Canis lupus familiaris: one gene and its partner. The protein of the gene in region 1 interacts with the protein of each later gene in a biochemical or structural test. Links are inferred from orthologs where the notes say so. Each region holds a gene or a part of one and is shown on either strand. Other genes may lie near its edges. The genes, in order: PJA1 and MAGED1.

Region 1 (6,626 bases):
ATATAACTGACATCTGGTCTCTGGAATATATAAAGAATTCCTAGTAATCAATAAATTGGTCCAACCACTTTGGAAAATGGCTTGGCATTTCAAGTTGAGGTTGAGATGCTCTGATCCGTGTCCTGCCTGCCGTGAGCCCCACCTCCTGGCATTTCTGACCTTGGGGTACCCCCTCCCCATAAGTGTGGACTAGACCACTGGACAATTCATTTAAAAAAATGGTATAAGCATTAGGATGCCACTCCCGAGATCTGCCTTGAAGAAATGTCAAAAGAAATTTTCCAGGACAAAAAAATGACATAGGACAGAAACTTAGATCTATGTTTTAAAAAGGCAGAGGATTTGAGAAGGAATAAATAAAAGTATAAAAGGACAAAATCTTGCATTTTTCTTAACTGATCTAACAAATAACAATTTGTTAAAAAAAAAACAATAGCAGCAATGTAATGGATGATAATGGCTTATGGACAAGTGAAATGGAGGACAGCAATGTTATAAAGGACATGAGGGAAGAATTGGGTGTACTCTGTTATAAGGTACCTGCACAACCCATGAAGTAAGGTTGTATCGTTTGAAAATGGGCTTGGATTAGTTGTAAATGTACATTGCAAACTCAAGGGCAACCACTGAAACAATGTAAGAATAAGAAATATAATTGAAATTATGGGAGGAAAAAGTGGAATCTTATAAAATGCCCAATTAAAATTAGAAAAGGCAGAAAAAAAGGGAGAAACAAGGAACAAAGGCAATGAATAGGAAACAGTTACAAATAGGGTAAATATTAATCCAACTTATCAAGAATCACTGTTTGACTACATCAGTTAAAAGAGCAGGGACTATCAGAATGGATTTTTTAAAAAGACCCCCCCAAAAGATGTTGTTTACAAGAGACTCATCTTAAATATAAAGACACAGAGAGATTAAAGGTAAATGGATAAAGGGAGATATACATGCCAACATTAATAAAAAGAAAGCTGGAGCAACTCTGTTAATTCCAAACAAAGCCAATGTCAGAGCAAGAAACATTATCAGGCATAAAGACAGGCATTACAGGGATCCCTGGGTGGCGCAGCGGTTTAGCGCCTGCCTTTGGCCCAGGGCGCGATCCTGGAGACCCGGAATCGAGTCCCACATCGGGCTCCTGGTGCATGGAGCCTGCTTCTCCCTCTGCCTGTGTCTCTGCCTCTCTCTCTCTCTGTGTGACTATCATAAATAAATAAAAATTAAAAAAAAAATACAGGCATTACATAATGATAAAAGGTATAGACTCGTATCTGAGCATCTGAAGAAAATAAAATCTGCTTAATCTGTATGACAGGTACATGCAAACATGCATTTTATACTCTTCTGTATATTGGAAATATTTTAAATTATTTGATAAAAATCGCATCCTTTCTTGAGTACAAAAAATATATACATTAGATTAGGTTTACTAATTGTGTTGTTCAATCTCTCTATATCCTTAGTTTGTAGTCTATTTGGTCCATTTATACCATAATAAGTGTGGTTAAGTCTCCCACTATAATTGAGAACTTTCTGATCTTTCTTGATATTTCTAACATATTTGCCTTATATATTTTGAAATCACATTGCTTGGCATAGAAAGTTTACTAACTGCATCCTCTCTATGAATGAAAGAACCTGTTTTGTTCTCTTTAATCCTTTTTATTTTGAGTTCTTGATTTTTCTGATATTAACCTTGGTACATGTCTCTTGTCTTCTTTCTTGCTTTTCTTTTTTTCTTTTAATTCCTCCCTCCTCACTCCTTCCTTTCCTTCCTTCTTCATTTCTTGTGGTATTTAACTGGCATATATTTTCCATTTCTATATCTGCTTTAAGTGAAACTCATATAAACAGCATATAATCAAATTTGAAGAAAAACAAAATACTTAAAATGAGAGTCTGCCTTTTATTTTTTAAAGATTTTATTTATTCATTCATGAGAGACAGAGAGAGAGAGAGGCAGAGACATAGGCAGAGGGAGAGGCAGACTCCTCACAGGGAGCCCGATGAGGGACCCGATCCCTGAACCGGGATCACGCCCTGAGCCAAAGGCAGACACTCAACTACTGAGCCACTCAGGATTTCTGAGAGTCTGCTTTTTTTTTTTTTAATTAGTGTTAATCCATACTATATACTGATATATTTGGATTTATTCCTGCCCTTTGGGTCTTAAAAAATAGCCTTTCTTGTTGCCTCCCACCTCACTTCTGCAGTTTGATAGATTGAATTTTTCTCTTTGTTCGACATATTATTTTTTTAGTGGTTTGTTACACATACATCCTATTCTTATTATATTTGTTACCCTAATGTTTCCTGTCCTTGTATTGTGCATTTTGTTTCCAAGAACAAAACTTTGCTATTGTCGTGAACATGGAGAGTCTTTACATTCCATAAATATTAAAGATGCATTGTAAAGTGCAATTAATAAAAGAGTTCAGAATTCTGTAAAATTATACAAATCCAAAAGGTATAGCTATAGTATTTTTAAACTGCAATGAGATTACCAGGTTGTGAGTCGGTATTACGCTTCATGACTGATCATTTCTTTTGGATAGAAAAGGTTGGTTTCGTTAACAGAGAAAAAAAATTAACAGCAACAAATTCTACTGTAAACAGTTCAATTGCTTCAATTACCAGGTCAAAAAAAAAAATGAACCTGCAACTCTAGATAAAATTTCACATTTTTTTATGCTTCTAGTACAAACCATGCCATATAACATAGGATATGATATATTATTGTAATTACTTGAACATCAGAATTAATCAGAAAGAATTTGTCGACTTCATCTTTAAAAAGGGGGAGAAAACCCCCAGAACAGAAGAGGGTATGGCTAAATGTTTAACATTTGCTAAAGCTGGCTGTTGGTTACATTTTTTGCTGTCCTTTTCTGTATCCTTGACGATTTCATCATTTAAAATGAAATCATGCTCTCGGGCCCAGCCTGATTGGTGGAGAGCAGCTGCCGCCCCGCCACATCGAGGGGGCGGGCCCGGCGACGCCACCGGCACTTCCTCCGCCGCAGTCGCCGCCTGCCCGGCTGCTGTCTGGCGGGGGAGGAGCTGGAGACCCGGAGCAGCCCCGGCGGCCCTGACGCTCGGCGGCCCGAGAGCTCCGCTCGCCCGGAGGAGCGCGCGGCTGTCAGCCCTGGGTGAGTGGAGGCTGTTTCCTCAGTTCATCCGGAAGGGGCGGCGGGGCAGGTGGCGGGGCTTGGGGACGAGGGTTCGGGTCCTCTAGCGAACAGATCTTCAGGCGCGCCCCTTGGGAAGGGGTGGGGTGGACGCAGGACCTGCCTGCAGAGTGAGGCCTGTATCCCCCGACCTGTTCGGGGGCGTCATCCTCCATCTCCCAGCCCCCTTCGCGTGGCGTGGCCCCTACTCGGATGGCTTCAATTGCTGTTTGAGAGGGGAGTGGGGGTCCGGGCCCTCCCCTACTTCTTCCCTCCTTGGTCCCTTTACAGAGCACTCCATGTCCTTTCTTCCCCCATTTTGCAGTTGTTTTTCCTGAATGGCAAATTGTTCAGATTTGTAGGTAAATATATTATCGTTCCCAGGAAAAAGAATTGTCTGAGAAACCAGTTATTACCAGGGAAAAACTAGACCCTTGCCTGCCTTTCCTTTCTTTTATTCCCCTTCCCTGGCCATCGGTTTGGAGTTGCCAGTGTGAGCAGTAACGTTTTGCCATCTCTCTTTATGACACTGTGACCCCCTCCCCCTCCCCATGTCTCGCATGTGTGGGCAGGGACATACACAGACACATGCATACATGGTGCGCGTGCACATGCACGCACACGTACGCAGGCATACATACAGACACACACACAGAAACCTCTCGTTGCAGCCCCCTCCCTGCACCCCCCTCATACTCAAGGTTTTGGCACATCCTCTTCCCCTTGAGGACGTGGACAGACACACATACACACACTCTTGCACAATGTCACACCCTCCTGTGCCTTTCCCTGCTTCTCACTGCCTGCCACATACTCACCTCCAGAAGCAGCCCCCTCCTTCTTCTGCCTCTGTGTGAGCACACACACACCACACACACCCCTTCTGGGGCTGCCCTAGCCCTTGCCTGCCACACACATGACGATAGCGTTTGATTGCTGGCTCCTCTTTCATGTGCCACATACATACATACATATATATGCACGCACACACTCTCATTCACACAGCCCTCACAGATGCTCCCAGCCCTGCTCCCCATCTGCTACATACGTGCATAGACAGCCCTCCTTTGCTGGTTCCTGCAGTGCAAACACTCACATAAATCCTTCTTTGGGGACACCATCACCCCCCAGCTAGCCACATTCGTGAATACACATATTTCCCTGATTGCTGGCTCCCTATTCCACCCACCAGCCACCCTCACATCCCTCTCCTGTGCTGTCCCTCTCGTGGATGCGTTCACTCACACTGACATTCTCCACTGTTGCCTCCCATTTTGCTGAATACTCACAGACCGTGGCCACCCTTGTCCAATGCTACCAAACCCTTTCTTGCCTGCCACAGACACGTAAACGGGCTCCCTCCACAGAGTTGCAGCCACTGCACATATACAGCCACACATGCACATTCTCTTTCTGTCATGCTTACACATACCCCTCTCCTCTGAAGCCACCCCCCACCCTGGCACCTGTCATTTCCCTACCCACATCCAGAATGGGTGTCCTTCTGTCTGACACTAACGCCTCTTCCCAGTACACCTGTCCCCTCCCCCTACAAACATGCATCTCTTCATTGCATGATGACTGCCCCCCCCCTTCCACCTGTCCCTCTCCTCCTGACAGACACGTTAGGCATTCATGAACACATGGTGATCTCTTTTTCACCCCATCCCAATTTGCATTTCTCCTGTCTGTCTGCAGGGCTCAGAAAAGATGCAGATACCCCATAAGATAACCACAACAATCTTTCCTCTTCCACATTGGCCTAATTTCACACTACTTCACCCACCTTCCTAGCATCCAGGCACCCCCATCTTCTGTCAGATTCTCCCCCAAGTCTGGCTCTCCAACCAACCCAGCTTTGTAATCATTTTGCCAACATTAAAAATGTGTTCCAGGTCTACACCTGACAGTCACTGGAATGCTACTTCAGGCCTTAGAAGAAAGTGAAACTAATTGTAAAGGCCCCTTATCCTTTCTGTTACTGCCTGCTGAAGTGAAAATAGATCTCCCTGCTCTTTTATTCTGAACTGATTTGACTTTCCCATCTCCCAAGCTTGTGCAGGGAGCAGGAGCCTTTCCGCTCAAGCCCCAGCTGTATTGGAAACCCTCCTAAGTCAGAGCCATGGGTCAGGAATCTAGCAAGCCCGTATGGCCCAAGCCAGCAGGAGGGTATCAGTCCAATACAGGCAGGAGGTATGGAAGAAGGCATGCTTATGTCAGTTTCAGGCCATCCTCGAGCCAGCAGGACAGGATTTCCAGCCAGAGAAAGACAACATCCGAAGTCCCAATGCACAGATCAGCCCCCAGTCAAACCACCAAGAGGAGCCGGTCACCATTTTCCATCACCCGTCGTAGTTGGGAGGACAGTGAGAGCTCTGGAGCCAGCCTGAATGTTGATAATGAGGACTACTCCAGGTACCCACCGAGAGAGTACAGGGCTTCAGGTAGCAGAAGAGGATTGGCTTATGGACATGTTGACTCTTTTGGGGCAGATGATAGTGAGGAGGAGGGGGCTGGGCCTGTTGAGCGAGCACCAGTTAGAGGGAAAACTGGCAAGTTTAAAGATGATAAGCCCTACGACCCAGAGAAAGGGGCCAGGTCTTTGGCTGGGGTGGCTCCACAGTTCTCTAGCTTTAAGCGTGATGTGAGAGAGGAGCTTGACAAGTTAGACCCGGCCCCTGCAGCAAGATGCTCTGTTAGCAGAGCTGAGTTCCTGCAGCAAAATAGCATGGCCTCTCAGACATCTGCTGAAGGCAAGGTGGCTACCCGTGGTGACAGCCGGGAGAGTCAGAGACGGGAGCAGAATTTCCCTGCACATCCCAGCAGGGCTCCTGTGAGTATTTGTGGTGGTGGGGAAAACACCCCCAAGAGTGCAGAGGAGCCGGTGGTGAGGCCTAAAATCAGAAATCTGGCGAGCCCCAACTGCGTGAAACCAAAAATATTTTTTGATACTGATGATGATGATGATATGCCACATAGTACTTCCAGGTGGAGGGATACAGCCAACGCTGAAGGCCACTCGGATGGCCTAGCAAGAAGAGCCAGAGGTGAGAGTTCAGGTGGCTACTCTGAGCTGAAGTACCCCGAAGACAAGAGGGAAGCCAGGAATGACCAAGTGAAGCCAGAAAAGGTACCAAGACGGCGGCGAACCATGGCTGACCCTGACTTCTGGACGTACAGCGACGATTACTACAAATACTGTGATGAAGACTCTGACAGTGACAAAGAGTGGACTGCTGCTCTGCGGCGGAAGTATCGAGGTCGAGAGCAGAATCTGTCGTCCAGTGGTGAAAGCTGGGAGACTCTGCCAGGGAAAGAGGAGCACGACTCTGAGCAGGTCAGAGTGAATGCTGGCGCCGGCGCCAGTGCCAGCCCGGGTACCGGCGCCAGCGCCGGCAGCAACAGCAGCAGTGAACTGGAAGACCTCCGAGGACCACCTCTTCAGGAAGAGGAACA
Region 2 (6,714 bases), about 9.0 Mb from region 1:
CTTAATGATAGAGATAAAATATGAGCTGATCTATGAAAGGTGATACTAGATAGCAGGGTGTGAAAGCATGTAGATTTGAGGTCTCAGTGCGCTTTCCAAATTGTAAGCACTTGTATGAGACTTTGACTTAGGGTGGGAAAAGGAAAAGCTGAGTAGTTAGAGAGGAGCCTGGAGAGAGAGAGAGACAAAGTTAGACTACCAAGGTTTTTGTATACCATGCTAAGGAGTTGGGATTTGGGGAGAAACATGGAGGGTTTGAACTAAGTGATCCTGATGACTGAGAGAAATGGATGAAATCTGTAACTATTCATATATCATCCTTTCAGTGAGTTTTTCCATAATAGCATTCGTCTCCTCTTCCCCTGTGTACATTGCTATCCTACTTACTTGCTTTGTTTCTTCATAATACTTGTCACCTTCTGGTATGTTTTTTCTTAAATATTTTATTATCCGACACAAAAATGTAGTTCCTGTGAGGGCAGAAATTTTTATCCATTTTGGTCATGGCTCTATCCTCAGAGCCTGGTGCATATTAACTGTTCGATAAATATTTGTTGCATGGATTTGTCAAAATTTTGAATGTGGAGGAAGTCGAGGAAAAATTATCAGATTTCGATGCCTCTGGATTTCTGATAATCCACTGGCTAACTTTTCCACCTCAATTCCCAAATACAATTAATTATTAATAGCATAAGCCCCTAATTTTCTGTATTTATTCTTTGATTACACCAATATCCTCTGAATCAACCTCTCTGCCTCCAGATTGCACCAGTACAACCCATTTTCTGTATTCTGGTTTTAAATATTACTAAATACTTTCTTGCTTAAAATTTTTCTTTGGCTTTCTGTTTTCCTCATAATTAAGCTCAAACTCCATGATCCTTCCTTCTCTGGCCTCTTCTAACATTCAGATTCATGACCCATTACTACTCCTTTCACAGTATACTTCAAGTCCACTGCCATTCTTCCCTTTCATTCGTCCATTCAATAATCTATTCAACATTAAACAAATCTTTATTGAGCACTCTCTAGTAGATAAGGTGTATTTTAGGTTTTTAGTATTCACCAATCAATGGGATAGTCATAGTTCCTACAAGGTCTCCTTTACCTATTATTTTGTCGCATTATAGCGTTGCTACTTGTTTATGTATTCATTTCCCCCACTGTTTGGAGGGTCTTGAAATCCAGGACTGAGTCTTATTCTTCTTTATATGGGCAATATCAGGAACGGAACCTTACGCTGAGTGGTTGTTCAGAATCTGCTGTTTGAATGACAAAATATGAGTTAAAATGTTGAAATGAACTATAAAAATACCATCAAAAGTAAGAACCTGGTGCTGGCCCCTGTCATTTCCCTGATCACATTTTGGTTATTTATTCATCTGACAAACATCAATAATCACCTATTTTATGCCAGGCTCTTATGTGTTTAAAATGTCACGTTTAGCTCCTAAGCTGTGGGTTCCTACTGCAATGCCCATGAGTGTAGCGCAGTATTTGGGACATGGTAGATGCTCACTGTATAGTAGTAGATTGACTGAAAATAACCACAAAAAAGGAAAACAGGTACAGATTTTGGACCCAGTGTTTTCTGGAGGTAGTGGCAATAGGTGATTCAATATTGAACTTTTAACCAGAGTAAGGATTATTCTTATTATTGAAAATTTTGGGAATCCCTGGGTGGCTCAGCGGTTTAGCACCTGCCTTCAGCCCAGGGCATGACCCTGGGGACCCCGGATCGAGTCCCACGTCGAGCTTCCTGCATGGAGCTTGCTTCTCCCTCTGCCTGTGTCTCTCATAATAAATAAATAAATAAATAAAATCTTAAAAAAAGAAAATTTTGTCAGTTGTCATTTTCTTGGGGGGGGTATATACATATACAAGAATGCTTTCTAGATGAATTTACCTTTATTTGTTAATTTGAGTATAGCATGTAACTCTTTGGATACTATTCCGAGACAAAAATGATTCAGATCTAAGATTTTTTAAAATCTCGAAATCGAAGTATGCCACTTATAAAAATGAACTTTTTACTCAACATGGTATGTTAGAAAATGGTAAACCAGTATGGCAAATACATAACTGTTGGCATCCAAGAGTCAAGGCACTAAGGGTTAGGAAGGTATTTTAAGGGCTAAATCAATAAGGCGAGGTGACAAATTTGGATATGTGGGGTTTGGCTGAAATAATGCAGTTCTTCGGATGACTAGAGTTAAAATTTCTTTTTTTTAAAGATTTTAGGGCAGCCCCGGTGGCTCGGCGGTTTAGCGCCGCCTTCAGCCCGGGGTGTGATCCTGGAGACCCGGGATCGAGTCCCACATGGGGCTCCCTGCGTGGAGCCTGCTTCTCCCTCTGCCTGTGTCTCTGCCTGCCTCTCTCTGTGTGTCTCTCATGAATAAATAAATAAAATCTTTAAAAAAATAAAGATTTTATTTATCCATAAGAGACACAGAAAGAGAGAGGCAGAGGGAGAGGGAGCCCGATATGGGACTCAATCCCGGGACTCCAGGATCACGCCCCGGGCCAAAGGCAGGCTCTAAACCGCTGAACTACCCAGGCGACCCTAGAGCTTTAATTAGTAAAAAGTTACTGTCTCTGAGCCGGTTCACATCACTAACCAGCTTCTGATACGCTGAAAGCCAGAGCAATAAAGTATTGTAAAAGCTTGCTAGAGAGGCACAGGAAGTTGCCTGTAAAGGGGGCGTGGCGTCGGAAAATAAGTTTCCGCCAAACGAAGGAAAATAGCGCTTCCGGTTACGCCATCGTTGTGTCGGGGCTTTCTTCACTGAGGTGAGTGGAAAGAAAGAGGCTCATAATTTTCACAAGTGAGTCTCCAAACCCTCCCGGGAAGCTTTCCTCCTTGCTTCAACATGGGGTGGAAAGATTTCATCCCCAGAGCACATTGTGTGAAGGATGTTTCTGACGCTTATGGTTCCGGTCGCCTGTCTACCTATTCTGAAGATGGCAGGCTGTCCTCCCTCTCTATTTTTGTCCTTTTATCCCTGGTCATTCTTCACCTCTCCTCGTTACCCCAGATCCTCTTCCTGATATTTCTGAGCCTGGGCCATTTCCTCTACCACAGATTTTTTTCCTACCTCTTAACTTCCACCTTCTTCCCCGGCCCCTTTTAGCCTCAAAACTTTTGCAACCCCCTTCTCCCGTTAGGAATCTACGCCCTTCCTTTTTCTTCAGCTCCAGTACTTTACTTTCCACCCCCCCCGCCCCTCCTGCCCGCCTCTTTCAGAGTCCTTTGAATTAAAAACTTGCCAAAACCAGGTGTGACTTCAGTTTCAAGGTCAACTCTTTTATTTCCTTAAAATAAGCAGTGGCAGAAATTTTAGTCCTAAGACACAGGAGCTTGTTCAGATTATTATATTATTGCTGAGTTTATTTTTACTCTTAACCAAAATGATACATCAGAAACTGCACTGATTTTAACCCTCCTGACATAAAAAAAAAAAAAAATTGGCACAGAACTCAATCCCCACTTTTTAGAGGAGCAGTCATAGGGGTTTTGCCTGTAAAACTTGTGTCAATTCTTGATGGTCGAAGCTTTCCCATCTCCTTTAGAACTTGTCATAGGACAGAAATGGTTGACGGATATGACATCCAATCACAAATTTATTTTTTCATATGAGTTATGCCTATTCAAATCTTTTTCTGGTCTTTGGTGGCAACATTGAACAGCAAGCTGACAGATTTTCAAAGTTTTCCTGGGAACTTCGCAAGTATTCTCTATTTCGTGCAAGGTGAAATATATTTTTCTGTTCCATTCATCATGTTTACTTTGTCTCGTGAGAACGTTAGTTAATCACAATTTATTATTCAATTTTTTACCCAAGAGAGGGGATATGATCATTAAACTTAAAATGAGTGTCAGGATTATTCAGGCTCTAAAGAGGAATTTATTCACCAAGAATTCCCTTGAACAAGCAATTTATTCCTTTCCTCCTGTAACTAGTGTGTTATACTTGCCAAAATAAGACGTAAATCTTTTTCTGGGCTAGGTGTAATTTTCAGTTCGTTTAGAAAAAAGTCAGGCTCGACTTCATGATACTAAAACACTTAAAAACTTTTTTGAAGGGTATTGCTGATGTCTCTGTATTCTCTAGTCAAGTTATAGTAACACAGCATTTAAATATCCCACGGCTTCAACCCAGTGTGCAACCATCATTTATTCATCTAAGAATTTTTTTATTGAATAACTTTATGTGTCAGACAGTGTTAAGCACTGAGGATACAACAGTGGAAAATAAAAAGCTTATTAAACTTTAGTTGAGAGACAGTAAATGAATATATAGTAAATATGAGTAAGTTGTAATGGAGAGGAGATGTAGTATTTTAAATAGGGATGGTGAGGAAGGCTTCCCTGGTAAGGCAACATTTGAGCAGAAACCTAAAGGAAGTGAGGGCACGAACTATGTACAGCTATTAATGGGAAAAACAGGATATATCTTATGTTGGTGTCTCTGTATTTGTTCACTCTGCTTCCACACCCCCCTTGCCCATTGTCACTTTTTTGCATGGCTTTAATGTAGCACTCTACATACTGAAATAACCTAATCCAGGCACATACATTTCCCATATTCTTTTGTTTTTTAATCTTGGCGAGCTTCTTGCTATCAATTAGGTATGTTGTTAGTTACCAGCCCTCTAGGAAGACATGTCTTTACATACATTTAGGTATGTTGTTAGTTACATACCTAATACGTCTAGAAGACGTATCTTTACATCCATCCTCACGTCTTCTTCAATCTTTTATCCGCAGTGCATTGTGTGCTATCCTACAGCATATTTGCTTACCTCTCTCACTGCTCTTATCACTGTGTGCTCATGATATGTTGCCCATAAATGTTTGGTATGTTAAATTGGAGGAATTGAGTACTTGTCTGTCTGTACAGGCAATCTTTTAAATATAGTTGGCCCTGGGATGCCTGGGTGACTAGGTAGTTGAGCATCTGCCTTTGGCTCAGGTCGTGATCCTTGGGTTTTGGGATTGAGTCCCGCATCAGGCTTCCTACAGGGAGCCTGCTTAACCTATGTGGTGGTATTGTTTGATCTTTCATTTGTATTCACAATTTATTTGTAATTGATTTCTTTGTATGTTTTCAGTATGAGTTATTGGTATGCGTAAAGGCCCCCCTTTTGTACATTTTTTGAAATGGACATTCAAGGGTGCCTGAGTGGCTCAGTCGGTTAAATGTCTGCCTTTGGCTCATTTCATGATCCCAGGGTCCTGGGATCAAGCCCTGTATTCGACTCTTTATTCAGCGGAGAGTCTACTTCTGCCTCTCCCTCTGTGCCCCCACTTCACCTCATGCTCCCACTCTTTAAAAAAGCAGATATTTAATCAACCTAATATCACTATTGAAAAGATAGCTATTTCCCTCCTATAGAGTCATGTTTTTCATAAATCAAATGACTAAGTTATTTATGTGGGTTTATTTCTTCTGAATTTTGTTCTGTTTGGTTAATTTTTCTATCCTTATATAAGTACCACTGTTATAATGGATGTCCTTTTATAATATATATCATATGTATATAGTCATTTAGTCTTACAGTTTTGTTCTTTTTTTTTCAATAATGCCTAGTGATTCTTGGTCTTTTGAATTTTCATATGCATTTTTAAAAAATATTTTATTTATTTACTCATGAGAGACAGAGAGAGGGAGAGGCAGAGACAGAGGCAGAGGGAGAAGCAGGCCCCGTGCAGGAAGCCGGATGTGGGACTTGATCCTGGGTCTCCTGGATCATGCCCTGAGCCAAATCAGACGCTCAACTGCTGAGCCACCCAGGCGTCCCTCATATGCATTTTAGACTCAGCTCATCAATTTCCACAAAAATTCTTCTTGACATTTTGATTGAAATACCACTTAATACATCCATTTGAGAAACATACATCATGGCACTTTACCCTTAAATATCTCAGTGTTTATCTCCTAATATTAGGGACATTTTATAGATAATTTAATTACCATTATGTCACCAATAAAAATTAAGAATAATTTCCTAATATCATCTAATACCTATACATTTTCTTTTTTTAATTAAAAGTTTTTTTAAAGATTTTATTTATGACAGAGAGACAGAGCATGAGTGGGGATAGAGGGAGAGGGAGAAGCAGACTCCTTGCTGAGCAGGGAGCCCAATGTGGGGTTCCATCCTAGGACCTGGGATCATGACCTGAGCCGAAGGCAGACGCTGAACCGACTGAACCACCCAGGTGCCCCACTTAATCCGTTTTCAAATTTCTTTCTTTTTCCCAATGTGCCTTTCATAGCTGATATTTCTGTTTTAAAAAAGACAAGTGGTGCTTACTAAGGTTCTATTTATCATCAGGCAATGTATAACATTTTATTTAATTAAAACAAAAAAAAGAATTATGATGTACAAATTCTTCCATTTAATAGGAAAGGAAAGGAATCAAATTGGTTAAGAAACTTGTTCAATTACAAAGCTTCAAAAGCTGGGACGCCTGGGTGGCTTAGTGGTTGAGTGTCTATTTTCGGCTCAGGGCATGTCCCGCATCGGGCTCCCTGCGAGGAACCTGCTTCTCCCTCTGCCTATGTCTCTGCCTCTCTCTGTGTGTCTCTCATGAATAAATAAATAAAATATTTTTTAAAAAGCCTCAAAAGCTCTTCACATTCAAATGCATAGTTCTATAATATCCCATGCTCTTATCACTGTATATCATATACAAAAGAATAAAGGTAA

The links.
Region 2: the proteins of PJA1 (region 1) and MAGED1 form a complex in vitro, tested with the Homo sapiens proteins (2 studies listed by BioGRID, with this or other methods). The link is inferred for Canis lupus familiaris from reciprocal best matches to the Homo sapiens genes PJA1 and MAGED1.

What each region holds. Positions count from the first base shown.
Region 1 is NC_049260.1:53,796,690-53,803,315, reverse strand, and holds the start of PJA1 (E3 ubiquitin-protein ligase Praja-1), read left to right. Parts: upstream 1-3,001; 5' UTR 3,002-3,152; intron 3,153-5,065; 5' UTR 5,066-5,292; coding exon 5,293-6,626. UniProt on the Homo sapiens protein: Has E2-dependent E3 ubiquitin-protein ligase activity. Ubiquitinates MAGED1 antigen leading to its subsequent degradation by proteasome. May be involved in protein sorting.
Region 2 is NC_049260.1:44,748,160-44,754,873, forward strand, and holds the start of MAGED1 (melanoma-associated antigen D1), read left to right. Parts: upstream 1-2,745; 5' UTR 2,746-2,790; intron 2,791-6,714. UniProt on the Homo sapiens protein: Involved in the apoptotic response after nerve growth factor (NGF) binding in neuronal cells. Inhibits cell cycle progression, and facilitates NGFR-mediated apoptosis. May act as a regulator of the function of DLX family members.